4 linked regions of the Oryzias latipes genome follow. The protein of the gene in region 4 purifies or fractionates together with the protein of the main gene of each other region. This does not show direct contact. Links are inferred from orthologs where the notes say so. Each region holds a gene or a part of one and is shown on either strand. Other genes may lie near its edges.

Evidence for each region.
Region 1: the proteins of rfc4 (region 4) and rfc1 fractionate together in Homo sapiens (co-fractionation; 7 studies listed by BioGRID and IntAct, counting the BioPlex papers as one, with this or other methods). This does not show direct contact. The link is inferred for Oryzias latipes from reciprocal best matches to the Homo sapiens genes RFC4 and RFC1.
Region 2: the proteins of rfc4 (region 4) and hnrnpu fractionate together in Homo sapiens (co-fractionation; 3 studies listed by BioGRID and IntAct, with this or other methods). This does not show direct contact. The link is inferred for Oryzias latipes from reciprocal best matches to the Homo sapiens genes RFC4 and HNRNPU.
Region 3: the proteins of rfc4 (region 4) and ATPase family AAA domain-containing protein 5 purify together in Homo sapiens (affinity purification with mass spectrometry; 5 studies listed by BioGRID and IntAct, counting the BioPlex papers as one, with this or other methods). This does not show direct contact. The link is inferred for Oryzias latipes from reciprocal best matches to the Homo sapiens genes RFC4 and ATAD5.

Annotation. Positions count from the first base shown.
Region 1 is NC_019859.2:13,023,555-13,028,109, forward strand, and holds the start of rfc1 (replication factor C subunit 1), read right to left. Parts: upstream 2,942-4,555; 5' UTR 2,815-2,941; coding exon 2,812-2,814; intron 2,455-2,811; coding exon 2,338-2,454; intron 2,243-2,337; coding exon 2,167-2,242; intron 1,405-2,166; coding exon 1,291-1,404; intron 1,209-1,290; coding exon 934-1,208; intron 836-933; coding exon 761-835; intron 1-760. UniProt on the Homo sapiens protein: Subunit of the replication factor C (RFC) complex which acts during elongation of primed DNA templates by DNA polymerases delta and epsilon, and is necessary for ATP-dependent loading of proliferating cell nuclear antigen (PCNA) onto primed DNA.
Region 2 is NC_019882.2:13,244,989-13,249,637, reverse strand, and holds the start of hnrnpu (heterogeneous nuclear ribonucleoprotein U), read left to right. Parts: upstream 1-1,759; 5' UTR 1,760-1,921; coding exon 1,922-2,354; intron 2,355-3,458; coding exon 3,459-3,573; intron 3,574-4,649. UniProt on the Homo sapiens protein: DNA- and RNA-binding protein involved in several cellular processes such as nuclear chromatin organization, telomere-length regulation, transcription, mRNA alternative splicing and stability, Xist-mediated transcriptional silencing and mitotic cell progression.
Region 3 is NC_019866.2:13,220,856-13,225,563, forward strand, and holds the start of ATPase family AAA domain-containing protein 5, read right to left. Parts: upstream 3,076-4,708; 5' UTR 2,764-3,075; intron 2,343-2,763; 5' UTR 2,330-2,342; coding exon 2,279-2,329; intron 1,905-2,278; coding exon 328-1,904; intron 206-327; coding exon 121-205; intron 47-120; coding exon 1-46. UniProt on the Homo sapiens protein: Has an important role in DNA replication and in maintaining genome integrity during replication stress.
Region 4 is NC_019862.2:1,765,350-1,770,063, forward strand, and holds the start of rfc4 (replication factor C subunit 4), read right to left. Parts: upstream 3,104-4,714; 5' UTR 2,958-3,103; intron 1,927-2,957; 5' UTR 1,919-1,926; coding exon 1,809-1,918; intron 1,214-1,808; coding exon 1,135-1,213; intron 878-1,134; coding exon 798-877; intron 691-797; coding exon 571-690; intron 1-570. UniProt on the Homo sapiens protein: Subunit of the replication factor C (RFC) complex which acts during elongation of primed DNA templates by DNA polymerases delta and epsilon, and is necessary for ATP-dependent loading of proliferating cell nuclear antigen (PCNA) onto primed DNA.

The sequences.
Region 1 (4,555 bases), on a different chromosome or scaffold from region 4:
ATAAACATACGTATAGCTAAAATTTTTAATTTTTTTTTATTTTTTTACTTCTATTATTTTAAATTACATTTTTTTCAATTCAAATTTGACAATTTTTGTGCAATTTTTAAAATTCTATCCCTATATTCTACCAAAGTTGATGTTCTACTATCAGACACGGTTGTATTTTTTCACATAACTTACATGTTTCGACAGATGTCTTCTGTCTTTGTCAGAGTCGCTATTTATGTTTTCTATTCATTTTTCTGTTCCATTTGTTCTGTTTTCTTACACTTTTTTTTATTCCAGTCCTTTTCCTCATTGGGATCTTCTACACCTGAGGTGTTGGACTCGAGCCCTCGAGGGCCGGCAACCTGTTGTTCAGAAACCCTGAAATGCCTGTTGCCATGGTTACCTGAATCAGGTTTGTTTTGCCAATTAAAAGCTACAACGGCAGCTTGGATGAAAAAACAAGTAGGACACTGGTTAATGAGGCCTGGAGTCTATACCCGTGGTATCATTTGGAGTGAAGCTCTATGACGTTTCACATTTGATGTTTGGAGCCTTTTCAGCTGCTTTTGTATGAAAAGGATTTTATAAATAAAGCTTGATTGGAAGTGTTGGAAATCGAAAAGATAGAGTTTCAAACCTAGAGGAAGTCTGTGTTTTGATCCGAGCACTTTCTTTAGAGTGAACTCTAGGAGTAAACTTAGTGTACAGATTCCTGAATCACTAACTTCTGCTTCTGTTTTTACGCCGGAGTGTTTGATGATCTGCTCACCTCCATCTCTTCTTCCACCTGCAACTGTCGGGCGATTTCCTCATCACTTATCAGATCCTCAAAGTCTTGTGTTGGCTGGAAGACAGGAGTTATAGTGAAGCTGGATTGTTGTAAAACAAATGAGAGTCCTGAAAGCTGGAGGAGAAGAATGAGGAGGATTCATCAGCACTCACAGCTTTTCTCTTGGCGCTGGCTACCAGCTTCTTTTCTGAGCGATGAATAGCAGCACCGCCGAAATAATCCGCCACTGAGGTAGGAGTTAGTTTGGGTGGAGGTGGTGCAACAGACTTGGGGGTTGTGGGACTCTTTAGCCCAGATTTTCCTGTGACAGGAGAGGCTTTGGATCCTGAGCGAGAACGTTCTGCGTCCGCCTTATTGCTTTTAGGAGAACCGTTCTGTTTGGGTTTGGCTCCTTTCTTCAGCGACTGAAAGTTGTCGCTGTCCGAGTCTAAAAGCACAAAAACAGACGTCAGAAAATCGGCTTTTTAGCTTATTGAATCTGGAGGACGTTGGATGAAGAAAGGCCTCACCTGTTTCAGAGACGTACTGCACTGGGTCTTTTTTAGGAAGAGGCTCTGCTTTGCTGCTCGTCGATTTAGAAGATTTCTTAGACTTTGTTGCAGGTTTCTCCTCTTCTTCTGAATCTGAACAAAACAACAAGAATTTATCCTTCAAGCTTTTTAAAAATAGGATCTGAAATAATATTTACCTTTTAGCTGTTTTAAGTCAAGGATTCACAATTTCCTTTGACACTAAAATAAAATGTTGATTTTATGAAGGAACTTCATACCTTCTTTAAAGGTAAGTAAATCATAATAGGGCTGTGATTGTATAAATTCTGCCTTTAAAGCTATTTTAAACTATTATTTAATAATCCTATTTAATGTGTCATGTGTGTCATACTGTATGCATACGTGCAACTATGTTTATTTATGATTAGGAGTAATTATAATGTCAAGACAATAGCATAATCTTCTTTTATTTTCTAATGAACTTGTGGTTTGGTAGGTAGGTTTGGTATAACTATGTATGTTTATTTCTGCTTGATGCTTCCTGCATCACATATGAACCTCTCAGCCAGCCTCTCACTTTTTCTTTGACATTATTATATAGTGATGCTGAGAGACACTGCACCACTCAAAGACATATTACACTCGTTGTTCACCTTTTGACACATCCTGTCAGAGGTCGCTGCTGCGAATCAGCTTTCACTGAGTCACACATTTGGTTTGGCAGAGACTTTTTTTTAGGCCGGATGCCCTTCCTGACACAACCCTGTATTTTATCCGGGCTGGGGACCAGCACAGGGAGACCTGGAGTTGGCCCCCCATCCAGTGCTGTTAAATCACAGAGGTCATCTCGTGACTTTAAGCCACGCCCATTAGGTCATCCAGAGTCTTTCCTACCTGATGCTATGACAGAATACTTCTTGCGCTTTTTCTCACTGTCTTTGCGTCGCTCCTCTGTTTTGGAGCTTTTGACCTACATGAGATAACACAAGAGAAGCTCAAAATCCCAAACATGTGCAGGAACAGCACTTAGTGTAGAAGTAAAAATGAAAACACAAGAGTATCAACCTTGGTTCTTTTCACATCAGAGGAGTTGAGGTTCTTCTTCTCCTCTGCTTTGGTGTTTGGCGCTGGTTTCTGCACCGCAGGTTTCCCTGATGTCGGTCCAAAGAACCGCCTTATATCCTGAATGCAGAAGCAAAGGAACTTTGAGGCTATTTTAACAAATCAATAATCTGTACTTCAGTGTGCAAAAAAAAAATCCCTGCATCTCTTCAAGGATTAATTAAATTTAAACTACAAATGTGCGGATTTAATTATTAAAACATCCGGTAAATTATAGCTGCTGTGCAATAACCTGTTCCTATATTAAAATAAAAAATGTAGGTCAACAAGTCAATTGTCTTAAAACTGTTTTAGCTAACCCACAGCAGAAGCGCGCGACAACATCTGCTTAGCATCCAGTTTCTCCTCAATGTCAGACTTTGCTCACATGCGTTCGCTTTCTGTGTGAGGTGGAAACCATAACGGTGTGTAACATACCATGTTGGAGATAATTCCACAAGGAAACCTCACAGTTTGTTATCAGCAAAATAATAAAAACTCCCAACTACTTGGCGCCAAGTCTGCAGTCGCTAGGAGATGACGCACCGGATGCTGGCTGCGTCACTGCGTCATCCAACCAGCGTCTTGAGAAATTCATCACACATACATTTAAAATCATTTTAGACAAAACTTCTCATTTGAATATAAACGTCTTTCTGCCGCTAAAAAGATAATTTAAGTGGTTTTCTAGCTACATCTTAGTTGATAAATGATCTGCACCAAGTTAACTTTAAAGATTTATTTAAAAAAAGTAAAAATGCTTTTGACATTTTCATGTGTAGTAAAGCTTGTTTTCCCTTTCTTTTAAAGTGCCTCATAAACAGTTTCTCACTTTTATTTTCAGTCCAGTCAATACAAATCTCTCCTCACAAATAAGCCTGCGTATACTTTCTATTGTGTATTTATAATTCAGCTTTACACTAGAATAAATATAAAGTTTGAAAACGGTACAATAGAAAAATTATGTCCAGAATATTAGGAGGCAAGATAAACAATTCATTGACATGGCTGGCCTCTAAATTGAAGACATTTTTAGCTGTTTACAGAGGATTGTCAGATAATTTTTTTTTTTTGAAAGATAAAGGCCAATTTGAACACTTTTACAAAAAACATTCAACAATTCCTTCAGTATGTGTGACTAATTTTATACCTCTGACCAAACTTTACCACATTTTAGTTCAGATCACAACTGTTGTCTTTAATAAAGCTTTCATTAGATGTCGGCAACAAACGGAGCTCAGCTACTTTCAGATAAACAGCCTTAAATTAGGACTAAAATGGGCAGATGATGGAACTGCTCCACTTTGCTTCAGTGGATGACAGTCGAGATCACAAAACAGAAAGCTGGACAATTTATTTTAACCATAAAATGTATTTGTCACATTTCCGTCTGTCCAACATTTACAAAGACAACTCCATCTTATAACCAAAGGTTAATGTAAAATAAGACAGAAAATGTTTAAAATGACTTGATCCATGTAAATGATGCATGACGGAAACCAGTTTTCCCCCAAAGTTTTTGTGAAAATCATTCAATTTAAAGCTGTCCTTATATTTTGATAAATAATCCCTCACCTGCTTCTTTTATACTGTCACACTGATGAGTTTCTCAATACTCTCATTTTATGTCTTTAGGAACTTTGGATCAAAGCCGAGTCCAGTTTTCTGCTAAAACCTTCTTGATGACTTAAACCTTAAATGCACAGCTTTCTCTAATCAAGCAAAGAACAATTACACAGACAACAAGAGATCAATCGAGCTGGAAAAAGGTTATTTTATTGGTCATAGCAGAATCTGAACATTTATTCACTGGCTGACTCCACCACAGTGGTCCTTTCGCTCACATAGATGCCGTCCAAGAACTTCCTGATGTCCTTCTTCCTCACTGTGGTGGCCTGCTGGATCAAAGCCGCTGCAAAGAGAGAAACAACAAGCGGAGAGCAGAGCGTGAGAACGGGAGCTGTGAGCGGCATGCAGGCCGTGTCTGTGTGGGAGTAACTTCCAGTACCCTGGTGTGTTAGACAATTATCAGTAAAGTGGTTGGTTAGTCACAGGGAAAAAAAAGACAGAAATAAAAGTAAAAAGCAAGAATAATTAAAGAAATAAATAAAAAAGCAGGAATAGTATCCAGAGAAGTAATAAGCATGCAGTCAGACGGCGATGTCTAACCTCTACAAGTGCA
Region 2 (4,649 bases), on a different chromosome or scaffold from region 4:
TGCATGATAATATTTGTATTCATTTGCGTGAATTTTAACCTTGCTATTTTAGTTTGTTGATATGCAAATATACTTTTAGTTTCAAAGCAATCTTTATAATTAAACAAACAAAGTGCTTTGAAACTAATCAGAGGCTAAAAAACAGACCAAAAAAATACTAACAGTAAAACTTGAATATGAGGATTAAACTACATTTCTTACAGCAGAAAAAAACCCGGAAATTTTACAACCTGCTGATCAATGACAAAGACTGTCACCTTGTAAATTGCAAAGTGAAATTAGTGCTTATGTACCAAAAACAGTCAAATTTGAACAGTAAAACAACAGCTAAAAATATTTACATTTTAAAGAACACAAATTTGGAATTAGAAAGTGTCATTTTGATAATCATTTAATCTATAGTAAAAGTGTTCCCAGTGATCTTTTAATTATGATTATGCTGTTTTTAGCCTAAATCAAAAAACCTGTGTTGTTTTTCTAGAACATAGTTTCTGCAGACCACCAGTAGTTTTTCAGAAATTCACCTCTGAGTTGTGGACAGAACTGATGAAGTCTTCCCTCATTTCCAGTCATCCATTTGTTACATGCTCTCCCACTAGCTTACAGCCCCTCGCAACCCAACCTAACGTCAGGTTGCAACAACAATGGCAGGCAATATTGGAGCTATCCAGCAGTACAGTTTTAAGCCAGATGCCAGCTCAGACGAGGAAAAGAAAGACGTACACAGATCTAGCCGTCTACAGGTTCATGCGTCAGAATGGAGCAGAGCAGGAAGCTTGTGGCCAGACAACTGTAGCATCAGAGCTACAAGCTTTTTTAGACTGGATTTCTTTTCTATTCCTGATTCACAACTTTGAATAAAGAAATACTCAGAACTGAATTTTCTTTATATATGTCCTCCATCATTAGAAAATTCATTCATCTTCCTCTGTTTATCCCTTTTGGAGTCACGGGGCTGCTGTAGCCTATCCCGGCCACTTATGGGCGAAGGCAGGGGACTCCCTGGACAGGTCGCCAGTCTGTCGCTGGGTCACACATTTCACACACCCACATTCACACCTATGGACAATTTAGAGTGACCTATGAAGCATGTTTTTGGATGGTGGGTGGAAGCTGGAGTCACCGGAGAAAACCCACACATGCACGGGGAGAACATGCAAACTCCACACAGAAAGGTCCCCCATTGATGTTCTGTTTCAGGTCCCCCAGCCGGACTTGAACCAGGGGCCTTCTTGCTGTGAGGCAAGAGCGCTAAACACTACACCACAGTGCAGCCCATCATCATTGGAAAATGCTTAAAGAAAATTTTAAAAACACATAAAAGAAAAGCATGCTTTTCAATGGAGTGGGTCTTTGATAAGAAAAGTTGGGAGATAAAATTCAATAATTCTGCTGCCATGCACAGTGGTGGAAGTGTAGTCATGAGGTGACTAAGTACCAACATTCCAAAGAGAGTTCATAATAAAAGACCAAAGCTGCAAAGGAAATTTCCATTGAAACTGGTATTAAATTTCAACATTAACTGTAGTTTGTCCCGTTTTGTTGCTGAGGCCCAAATTAAGCTGTCATTTAAAAAAGGAAACTTTTTTTCTCTTTTTTAGCAAATAAGTGGACAATATTTCTCTGCAATAATGTATAATGTGTTTGTAAGATAAGTATAGATGTTTTCTTGTGTGACAGTAGCAGATGGCAGGTTTACCAGAAGAGGGAAAAAACCCGCTGCGCCATTTATTCAGTGATTACGGTAGGAGAGAGGCCGTCCTCCTCCCCTCCCCACTCAACCGCCGTTTCAGCGCAGCTCTCCGCCGGCGAAGACTTCTCGGACAGCGGGTGCTATTTTGGCGCAGTTTCCTGTCTATAGGCGTTCAGTTATTTATTTATCGTCGATTTTTTAAAAACTGTTTGTACTCTTGCATTCAAAATGAGCACAATTAACGTGAAAAAGCTGAAAGTGAACGAGCTGAAAGACGAGCTGAAGAAGCGTAATCTGTCGGACAAGGGGCTGAAGGCCGAGCTGATGGACCGCCTGCAGGCCGCGCTCGACGAGGAGGCCCTGGTCGGGGATTCTTCTGCGGCCCAGGAGGGATCGGAGGAGGAAACCCTCGAACAGGCCGCCGAACAGGAGGTGATGGGAGAGGAAGAGGAAGGCGACGGCCCGATAGAAGAGAGCATGGAGGCTAATGAGGAAGAACAGGATAATGATAATGGGGACGAGGGCAATGGCGTAGCGGATGACGAAGACATGGGTGAGGGGGAAGAAGGCGACGAAGACGACGAGATGCTGAAGGGAGATGTGGACGACATGGAAAAAATTGACACGGAGGATGGTGAGCCCGGGGAGCAAGCTGCTGAGGGTGAGTCTGGTGAAGTGATGCTGAAAAGGTGGCTGGCTGAATGGACTGTGGCTGGCTGTTTTTTTTTTTCGGGGGCTGGTTGCGAAGATTTTAGCGCGTTACCAAGGAGCGTCCATGTTGAACACGGCGGCGTGATTCAAGCTAGTTAGCATTAGCAGCTAGCATCGGTCACCTCCTCTTAGTTAATCGTTTTGTAACTCTAATTACGCGTTACCATATTCTCTCAGGCACGTTTTAAAGAGTCGTTTCAAAAACACAATTTAAAGTTTAGTAATAGTTTTAATTAAATTTATATGCCGAGAACCGTCCTTTTTGGTTGACCTTTAAGCTTTTTCTTTCGATTTTGTAAGGTGTGTTAGCTTGTCAGCTAGCGCGATTTCCTTTGTTTCTGGTGTAGTGCTAACAAGCTAATTTAGCAGGGTTAGCCATTTCAGATTTTCCCTTCCTGTTAAGACATAAAGGGGGAATTTGCAAGCCACAAATCTTGTATCTTACTGTCATTTGTACAATCTCACTGGAATTACTTTTGAAACATTTCATTTCCCAGTCTGCACAAATAAAATAAACAGGAGAATATCTGCGATGGCTAACCCCAAATTTAAATAGTGGTAGCTCAGCTGGTTCTGCTGCTTTTGTTTAGCTAGTTTTTTTTGTCGTGGTTTTTCTGTTTAATAAAGGTTCCAAAATCATACAGTGTAACAAATGGGGAGGTAGTTTAAAACCATATCTAAATAGCCTTACTTGCATGATTTATTTATCCCCCTTAAACAGTAAACTTTCCCTTATAAGTTAATCAAACCCCATTGACAATGGTGTATTTTTCAGACTTTTATTTCGCCCCCACAAAGCATCACTCATTTATTTTATAATTTTTGGCCAGTTTATTGTTTAACTACCTGGTCTTAAAAGCTGTCATAACCATTTGATTGTACTGTATTTTCAGTGTAAGTATAGTGCTGCCTCTTTGAACATTCATATGAATTATGATGGACACAATGTAACTAATGAACGGGCTTTGTGGGCCAGAACCCCACTGCTAGTCCGACCTCTCTCTCTGTCTCAAAAAGGAGCACCTCATTCTATATCTTTGTTCTATTTTCAAAGGGGATGCGGACAAAGACACGAATGCTGATCAGAAGAATAAGAAGGGTGTTAAGAGACGCCGGGAGGAACATGGAAGGGGCTACTTTGAATTTATTGAAGAGAACAAATACAGCTGGTAAGGATGGGACAGAGCAAAATGGCCTTCAGCATCCCTGAAGCGCCATCCATAGCTTTGTTGGATTGTATTGGCTTTAAGTGCCAATGCACACATTTCTAGCAAGAGGAAAACCCTCTGTTTTTTTGTTTAAAATAAAAAGTATTCTCTTATTTAATAACTTTCACACATGTGTTTTCAGGGTCATCCCTGACTACCTAAAGAGCCTTACCATTTACTCTACAATGCCCACTCACATAGCGTCTTTAATGGACTGCATTCTGTAGCAGAAGTGCATCTGTGACTTTTCACATCTGTTCCTCATGCCACTTATTGTTTTGTTTCTTTTGGAAAAGCCCGTTGTGTCCTTAAGGTGAATGGAGGCTACTCTAAGCAAAACCCACAGAGGGAAATAGCAGGTGTACACTTTTTCAAAAGGAGGGGTGGGTTGAGGAAAGTAGCCGAGGGGTCTGAAAGAAAGTAGCACACAAGGATTTAGGAGATTTAAAGAAAAAAATCAAGATTATTGGAGCGTCCACGGAGGAGCTTCGGTAGTGATCGTCCATGTTTTTTCGGAGTGTTCTGCCTTTTTGTTGTTGTTTTCTCTCTATCACACTCTTGTTGCTGTTTCTGTATCATGTTTGTGTAAAATGTCATGTTGTGTGCGTTTGGAAGAGTTTTTATACCCCGCGTTCTGTGACCTCATGCATGGCTTGCAAGGGAGTTCCAGTGTGAGTGTGAACATGAACTTACTTTTTTTGGTCACGTGTGTTGTTTTCATTGCACTACCTGGACGCTGAAGATCGATGGGCACAGCATCAAAAATGTTGGCTGTTTTATTTATTTTTAAATTGTGATCACTTATTTCTGGTTGTGTTAATCCAGGAAAGTCACTTCCTGCTTCTCCAAATTGTCCACTTGACGTTTTTAGGGATTTATCAGTTTAATCTTTGCCCATATTTTCCCTTCTAAACAACATAACCTGCTTTCAAAATAATCTAAAATAATTTTTAAGCTTTAAGGACCTTTGTGGTAAAAGTGGGTTTACATCAGGCCTTTGTGTTAAAGTCCCACTCTGATCATCTTTAGATCTATTT
Region 3 (4,708 bases), on a different chromosome or scaffold from region 4:
CCACCAATTTCTTTGCTTGTTTTCTTTTGTGAGACTCATGAGTGGCCTAAAAAACAAACCAGAACTGTATTACCTTTAAGCTACATTTAAACAAATTGAACTGGGATTCCACAAACTTACTCTAGATTTTTGAGAGGAGGCTTTGTCCACTTCCCCGTCATCCTCTGCCGCAGATCTATTTTTATTAACTCTACTAAATTTAATTCTTTTTTTTTTTTAGGAGAAAAGAAAAACAAAATTAGGGGGATGCAAATACTGCAAGTGTGAACAGAAAAAAAAATGCCCAAAAGCACCTTTACTTAAGGACAGTTTAAATGGATGCATCACCTGATTGGACTTTGCTTGGTATCTGGTGAGCTTATGATCTCTGCCACAAACACACAGTACTTGGACTTGCGTGTCTTGGAAGGCACCAGCTTTAGAGGGCTTTCCTGTGATATGGAAGGAGTCACGGCCTCATTAGACGCCTGTTGTCTCCTTGTTTTTCTGACAGGAGTCGTTGGCGTGCTCTGAGACGTTTGTCGAATGACGGCCTCTCGTTTGGATCTCCTCGTGACTGGCACAGGTGGAGCAGCTGCGGCGTCTGTCACATCTGGACCTGCAGGCAAAGTATTGGCCGCCTCGTTTTTCTCTGTAGCTTCAATCCTTCCCTTTTTCGGCCGTTTCTTTGTGGCTTCTTTCTTCTCTCGTTGGGTTTCCTCGACCGTAGGCTGCATGATCAGATCCTCACCATCAGCCGTTTTGCCTGCAGCATTCGGCGTTTTCTCTGCGGCTTCTTTCTGTTTACCTTGGCTCCTGACAGGTTTACTTTTGGGCCCATCCACGCCGGGCTGCTTGAAAGCTGCCATGAACTGTTTTCTCTCCGCTTCACTGCACTTTGGAGCGGATTCGCTTTCAAGCACAGAGAGCTCGAGATCTTCCTCCTGAAGAACCACGTTGGATTTCCGCTTCACGGTGGGAGAAGAAAGCTTGGGTCCTGAATCAGTGTGGGGAGATGTGCTGGTCTCTACGGGACTATTAGAGCTTCGTTTCTGGTTGAAGATTGAAGCCAGTTTTCCAACTCTTTTGACGTCTTCCCTGTCGGGTGAGATTGCGTGCACTTCTGCTTGTATGGTGACAGTTCGAGGCGAGATCTGCAGAGGAGACGCCAACAAATCTACGTGTTGTTCAGCTGTGGGGATATCCAACTGCTCAGCCTTTGTCTTCTCTTCTGACATCGTTTTAATGCCTTCATCATCGCTTTTGTTGTCTTCATTCTTGCTTTGACTGCGCAGAAACTCCTCGAATGAGATTTTGACCGTGCTGTCTTTAATACATGCGGCCTCTTCATCACTGGCCTTCAAACTAACATCACACTCTGCTTCTTTCTCTGGCTCGGAAGGATTTTGCTTCTTCTTCCTTTGTTTTTGTGAAGCTTTAGTAGATTTTGATTCATTTCTTGGAGTCAATTCAGAAGTTTGAAGTGCTGATTCAGACTTTATATCCTTTTTCTGAGGTTGATCGCTTTCTGACGAATCAACAGTAGACTGTAGATCTGCTGCAGAGTCTGTGTTTTCAGGGGCTTCTTCAACTATCATGCAGTCCACATCACCGATACTTTCAGCGGGTACGAGCTGCCTGGCACCTCTCCCACTCTTTTTACCACGTTTCTGAGACGGCGCTCTCTTTCCTTCTGACTTTCTTTGTTTTTCCTCCTCTTGAGACTCCTGACACTTTTCTAAAGACGGCTCGGGCGGGCATGTCTGTTCTTTAGACGAGGAAGCTTTTCGACAAAAATAGCTCATAATATTATTGGAGTGAGGAGGAGAAAAGGGTTTCTCCACCGGCTTAGGCACAGGAGAGAAATAGTTTGTGATTGGCTTGGCAGCAGGACCACCACTATCTTTGCGAGACTTCTTGCCAGGCTGTTGAAGGAAAGACAAAGTGATTATTTTTTTACGGTATAGATTTCAGTGGAAACAAACACAACAAAACAGCCTAAACACCACAACTGCCTATCATAGCCTTAATGCACAGGTCTCAACAATAGTTTTAGATTTATATGAAATATAACTGCATAACTTAGGGCCAAGCATGACAGAGTTCATAAAAATAATTATTTAAAATTCAAAGCAAAAACAAAATAAACAATTTGACAGATGTTAAGAACATGTGAGACAGACGTGCCTCCATGAATCAACTACATACATAAAATACATAACATGGATTCACAGGACACCCGCTGACGTATGACTAAGAGTTTATGGAAAGAAAAACCAGCTTGCTGTTGTTTCTCTACCTGGGTGTCAAAGTCCTCAATGACAGAGGCCATAGCCACAACACCAGCCATAATCTGACAGGACCTGAAGCAAAGCAAAACATAAAAACTGAATTAGAGCAAATATACACATACAAAGATACAAAAAAAAAAACTGCTGTTTTTTTATTTTTAATTTAAATCAAATCTTTTGGACGTTTTTCCCTAGTAGAAACAGGCAAGCCTTAGCCTAAAAGTGTCACTTGACTTGGACATACAGTAAAAAGGAAGCTAATGCTTAAACTTATCTGTTTAGGCAAAATTTTGGCCCATTGTTAGGTTTCATTTTTTTAGCAACCGTTTATCATGTTTCACAGAATTGTAAGGTGGGGTTTTTGGACGTTCATAAAAAATATATTTTTGAAAATATATCATCAGTAACATAATATGCCCAAAACTGAAACATTGTAAATAAATGCTAGCAATACTAGCCCATTCATTGATGTCGAATCCGCCACTTGTTTTACCTGTGAGGTTGTTTAAGCTTCTTTATATTGTTCTGCTCCAAGACCACTCCACCATTGTCATCGGTTTCACTGTAAAACAACAAGCTAGCAGATTTCGGCGAATAATAGTTTCATAGTTCCCGCGAAAGCTTCAAATATTTTACCGCCTTATGAGAAGCAAAAGGCCACCGTGTTCTACTCACGGTCTATAAAATAGTAAGCGCCCCAATTAGAAAAAAATATGTGTATATATATTCTCTTGACATAAACAGTCCATTCAAAAACGCGCCAGACTGACCGAGAGTGAAAAGCGCCAAATAAATGTGACCTTTGACAGGACACTCGTCCACCAATCACAAGACGGAGATCGATTTCGTCATATTGTGACGTAGTTTACCCCAAACAAAGATGGCGTGCGGACTTGCAATTTACTGATACTGAAACATTTAGAGCGCCCTCTAAAGACAACACTGTCGCAATGTTCATATGGGTTTTTCTGCTCCATCAGATTCGGAATTTTTTAAACCTCTGAATTTTTTTTTAACCCTTGATTTTCAAACAGCAAAATGTTATGCCCTGTTATTTTCTCTCTCAAATGTTTCAATATTTTTAATTTCGAGGCACAACATTTCAATGTCCTAGAAATTCGTTGTAAAAAATCGATGGAAAAAAACTTTGCTCACTAAAATAATTAGTCAATAAGAAGATACCAATAATATCCTACTGGTGGGTCATGATGAATTTAACCTTAAATATAACCTTGCTGTTCCTCCAAGAGAGCATGCCATTTTTTTTGACGCCGTTACCACTGAAATCTGTGAACTCTTTAAAAATACTGTACTTGATGCAAATATTTCCTTCATATCTCTAAGTGACACCACTATTGGAAAATCTTGTTTCAACTGTGCCCGAAAAAAATAACAAGATCATACGTGTCCTGTTTCAGCAAAATGTTTTTTCTGTTCCCTCTGCTGTTTTTTAATGGAGAAAATTTATTCCTGACTTGCCCTGGAAAAATGTTTGGACCCTGCATCAGAAATTATTAATAAATAACAACATGAGAGACGTCTCCTACAAACTCCTACATAGAATCTATCCCACTAATCAATACATGCTCAGATATAAGAAGACTATATTGACCCCAACTCTACCTTTTGTTAAGAACACCCAGAAACAATCAGTCACCTATTTTGGAACTGTAATAAAAAACTTTGGAAAGAGTGTGCACGTTTTTTAAATTACAAATTAGATTCACAATATCAGATGAAATTTGAACATATCATATTTGGCCTACACGAAAAAAACACAAGATCAAATGTAAAATTGGCAATTAATCTACTTATATTTGGTAAATTTCATATTCACAAATCAAAGTTTTCCTTATCACAACTTTTACCCCCTGTAATAATTAAAGAATTAGAATCTTATCTACATGCTATTTCTAATAGCTTAAAAAAAGCCATACATATTTATGAAAACTGTCTGTCTTTGAACATTTTTAATGCATAGCAATCTGTTTCTGTAATATTTCTTTTGTAGCACATGTACCCTCCCCTGGCATTCCTGTTGTTATGACTATTGTTCTTGTCATAGATATTTGTTCTATTTGTTTTGAAAAATAAAGTTTAAGAAAAAATAAGAAGATAGGGAAACCCAGCCAATCAAATCATGACACAGATGTGACGTCAGCGTTTGCCACGTTCTATTGGGTCCCATGATGGCAGCAAACATATTGTATTAGTGCTACAAAACAAATAAACGATTAATGATTAATGCTTTCAATGATTGTATCCAGGAAGGTTGTCTAACTCCATCTATGAAAACTTACTCCCTGAACCAAATAAGAACTTGACAAAATTAGATAATAGGAGGCCCATCACACTGCTGTGTAATGATTATAAACTATTGGCACTGGTGTATGTGAACAGGATAAAAAGGCTTCTAGACAAAGTAAAAGATGAATTTC
Region 4 (4,714 bases):
CTGTCGTGTCCATTTGCGTGACTGTCTACGATTCACTCCCTCCATGTTGTCAAAATAAAGGGCTGCAGGTCTGTTACTGATCAAAACCAACGTTTTATGGGTTGTTAGGGTTTCTGGCTCAACATTTGCCACTGGTTAAAGCATCGCTTAAATACCAGAACCCTTTTAAAAGTAACGGACTGGCACCTGATAAAACCCAGACGCTTCCCATCAAGACAACTGAAATGTGGACCAAAGGCCTCCCTGACACAAAGGCATCTGTAGACGGTCTTACCGTCTGACCGCCGTGATTCATCAGCACTCATCCAACAGAAATCGTTAAAATGAGATGCTTACATTTGGAGGTTATCCTGGTGCAACAACCAACCGTAGCACACGTGTGTTCCATCATGACATTTGATGGCCATTCATTCTAGGGGTGCAACGAATCACTAGCCACGGTTCGGCGCACACATGTGCACCCCGGATTTCCACCAAAGTCACTGATTTAATCTGTTGGATTCATCAAAACAGTGTGGGTGTGTGCATGTGGGGGTCTGTCCAAATGCTTTAGATTTGAAATGAGCTCACTCTGGACGGGTTCCTGCCACGGTAAGCTGAGCAAAGGTTTTCACTTTCTCTCTGACGACCTGGATGCCTCGCTCATCCGAGGCGTTCAGCTCCAGCACCCTCTGCCGGTACAGCTCCGGCCTAAAGCGGGATATAAAAAGAGAAAGTGGGATGTTAGAAGGAGAATGTGAGGAAGAAATGAAGGACAAGAAAGGAAGCTTCTAAAAAGTCAGAAGTGGTTTCCTCACCCATAAAGTTCTCTAGCAGCTGCTAAGATGGTAGAAGTCTTTCCTGTTCCAGGCGGGCCGTAGAACAGCAGGTTTGGAAGCTGCAATCACAATGACACACATGTGAGATACTCGGCTTTTCCAACGCCTGAAAAGTTAGTTCTCATCTAACTGAAGAGGAGTAAACTCATGCTTGCTTTGCTGCAATAATCTGACAACACGAGATACCAGGTCTTACTAGCTGCATCTGAAAAAAGGATGTTGATTTAAAGAAAAGACACAAAGTTCAGGTCTCTGCAGGTGAGACTTCCATCCCAAACTCTGATCTCTGCAGTGGAAATCAAGCTCTGATACTAACATCTGCTCCTTCCAGGGACTTCTTCAGCACCGCCACCACCTCCTCCTGGAAGGCCACCTCATCCACGCATTTTGGTCTGCTGGAAAACAGAAAATCAAAGAAGTAAAGCAACTCAGAGTTTAGTATTGAACCCATTGTAGCTTCAGCTATTTCACAAGTGAACATGCAGCCGGTTACACATCTCTACAACAACACTTTAGTGTATGAAATGAAACCTGAGAAAACCAAAACATGCAGTTGTCAGTTTTTTTTATTTCACTTGCTATTGTCAGTCAGAAAACCTGATCTATCCCACGGATTTCCACATTCATATGCATTGTGCCAGTGGCTGAAATGATCCTAGATCCAGTCATCAATAAAAGTGCAACAGGAACTGCTATCAGACTGAGCCACTGTTTGAAAAAACGATGGAAGAAACCAAACATTACCCAACCTAACATGGCTGCTTTTTGTTTTTGTTTTGCCAAATAATCAAACAAACAAAGAATGAGCTGAAAGTCTGTCCATCAAACCATCATGAAGAGGATTCACTAACAGACTACAACTGTTTTTCCATGTTACATGACACAAACTACAGAGTTAACACAACACTAATGTTTGTGTAGTGATACTGCAGTCAGTCCCGGCGTGAGTGTACGGAAGCTTTTAGGTTCATTTATAGAACAAAGACTTACTATTTCTCAACCCAAGGAACAGTCTTTGGTTTCTTGTCTGCGCTGGGCCCAGCCGGCCCTTTATCCTTCAGAGGTTTACCGACACCCGCTCCTTTGAGAAATGCCTGCATGGCTCCTTCTGGATCAAGAGAAGGACGGATGAGCCAGGAACCCAGAGAAACACCAACGACAGAGCCGTACGACTATGAGGAGCTTACAGTAGAAAGGGGCACAAGGCAAGGCAACCTTTTGGTCAGTAGGGACTAGGCCTGCACAATATACCGCAAATTTATCGTTATCGCAAGATCAAGCTGTGCAATCTGCATATCGCAAAACACAGCAAAAAATGCAATAAATGGTTACCTTAAATGTGCTAAAACAATCTTATGGCAGCTTAAATTATTTAACGAATCAAATAAATCCCTTTATGCATTTGACCAATCGGATAGAGCCTTTAGCGTTGTTGACCAATCAGATGGAGCCCTTTTATGTTAGATGTTCCCTCCTATGTCAACGAGGGTCATTTGGAGTACAATTCTTAAACTGTTGCAATAAAATGGGAATGATGTTTTTGGTTGTTTCGCTATTTGTTTATATACCGCAAATTATATCGTTATCGCAATATTAATCCCTCATATCGCAAGTTTTTCCTCATTTCGTGCAGCCCTAGTAGGGACACAATAGCATTTTCAGTGGAGGCTTAAAAATTATGTCTGATTTTCCTTTTGTAAGGCACTTTGTGACAGCTGTCGGTGAAAGATTCTAATGAAATAAATAGTACTACTTAATTTAGTTTACAAGTAATATATTTTTTTTTAATCTACTAAAATACAACTTAAAAAATGACAAATTCATTGTCAACTTATTTAGGGCTATTTTGCATTAAAACTTTATAAACAAAATAATGTTACGAGCAGTGAAGATCTCTATTTTCTAATACGATTGAAACAGATACATTTAATTCCAGTATCAGTTTTAATGATGACTTCCTGAAACGTTAGCTTTCCAAACGATGATGCTCCCCCAGCCTCTGCTACACTCGTCCGATTGAACACGTTTTGCACAAGTTGTTGTTGTTGTGGTCGAAGCTAGCAAGCAGCACGAACCGCGCGCGCGAGCTGTTTTAGCTGACAAAAAAGACTACTTTTTTCTTCATACAGCTGCACGTACAGTATCTTACCAGAAAGTCCAGAGAAAGGACCAAACACCAACGTTCAATGACAACTCTGCCTTTATAAACACCCCTTTCCAAAACCGCTCCACAGCCCCAAAGCGCCGCTGTTTCCCGCTCCGCCGTAGAACGTCACTTCCGCCGTAGAACGTCACTTCCGCTGACGATCTTCCAATCAAATTCCCAAAAGATTCGTCATTTCCTGTTTGAAGGCTGTTTTCTCTTTGTCTTTTTGACAAATACACATTCTCGTTTTCTTCTTTTCCATTCTTTCTCTGCTGTGCGTGTTTACTTTTCTCTTCTGTCTCCTTTTCTTCCAGGGTTTTTCTTCGTTTGTTATTCGTCTTTTCTCCCCTCGTCATCCTTTTTTGTTTACTTTTCTTCAATTGTAATAAATAATGTTCTGACTTATATTCTCTCCTCTTTTATTCCTCTATCTTTGACTGTTTTCTTTTTTATATTACCTCATCTTATCATTTTTCCATTTCTCAGATTTTCTCGTCTTTTAATTCCTGTTTTTTGATTCCTTTGTTTTTTTTCTTAATTTCTCACCTTCCTCTCAGTTTCTTCCAGCACTTTTCAAAAAACAGTTTTTTTCTTTTTAATTAATTCTGTTTTTTTCTTTTCCTCTCCCCATTTTTTTTTAATTTTTTGTCATTCTGTGTCTTTTTTATTTTTATCTTTCTCTTCTCTCTTTTCCCTGCTTTCCTTTTGTTCTCTTCTTCTCCCCATTACTCATGTTTTCTTCCTTTTTTCACTCCCCTTTGTCACATTTCCATCCATTTTTTCTTGATTGAAAGTTGATTTAAAAAATCAGTTTAAGAAAAGTAAATGAAAATAAAATGAGAAAAAATAAAAACAGCCGGCTCCAAATCGAAGCGGCCTTTTCTCCACATGGGTCGAAACAAATGTAAAAACATCAAACAATAATGATAATATTTAGGATAATTTCTAACCAAATGGGTGCCAAAATACCTAAATCTAAATTGAAATGCTATTTCTAAAATTGTAAATTTCCCCCCATGTGTTCTCAGTTTTTCACCATAGTGACGGACACTGATTGAGAGGAAAGGAAGAGGCAGAGCAGATGTCTAGAGCTAATTGCTGTCAGTGCTGCAATGACATCAGTCCCCAGAGAGGCTTCAGCCGTCAGCTAGAACATCGTTTGCATCCAACAAAACCTGGATCTGGATCTCTCAATCAGAGAGTCCTCCAGGTGAAATCCATCCACTTTGCATAAAACAAGCAGGAAAAGCTGAAGCAGGACCACAAAGACACTGAACTATGCGATTATCTTAAGCATCACCATAAAGAGACTCATGGTCAGCATGACATGGAAAGAAAGAAAAGCCCTTTCATGAAGACCGGTCCATGTGCCGCCTGCCTCCAGTCACCAGGGTTTCTCTTTTGGACCCCACCCCATCCACAGAGCTTTCCCTCCCCCTGCAGGCAGGTACAGCAGCTGTCTGATGAGGTCTCCTTTTGTGACTCAGCTTTTTCTTTCACAGAGAGGGCAGCATCAAGAAGCAGGATCCACATTTCCTCCACAATTTCAGCCTAAATGAGAGAACGTTTTGCCTTCCCATTTTCTCCTTTCTGTCTGGGATTTTTTACCCGGAGCCCATGGATCAGCCTAAAGAGAAGTGCAGATCATTATCTCATTTTTTCATTTTTATCCTCAAGTTGGAGTAAGGCTTTTCTTTTCAAATATACCCATATCTGATGACTGGTAGGACATTAGTGATTTCGTTTACAT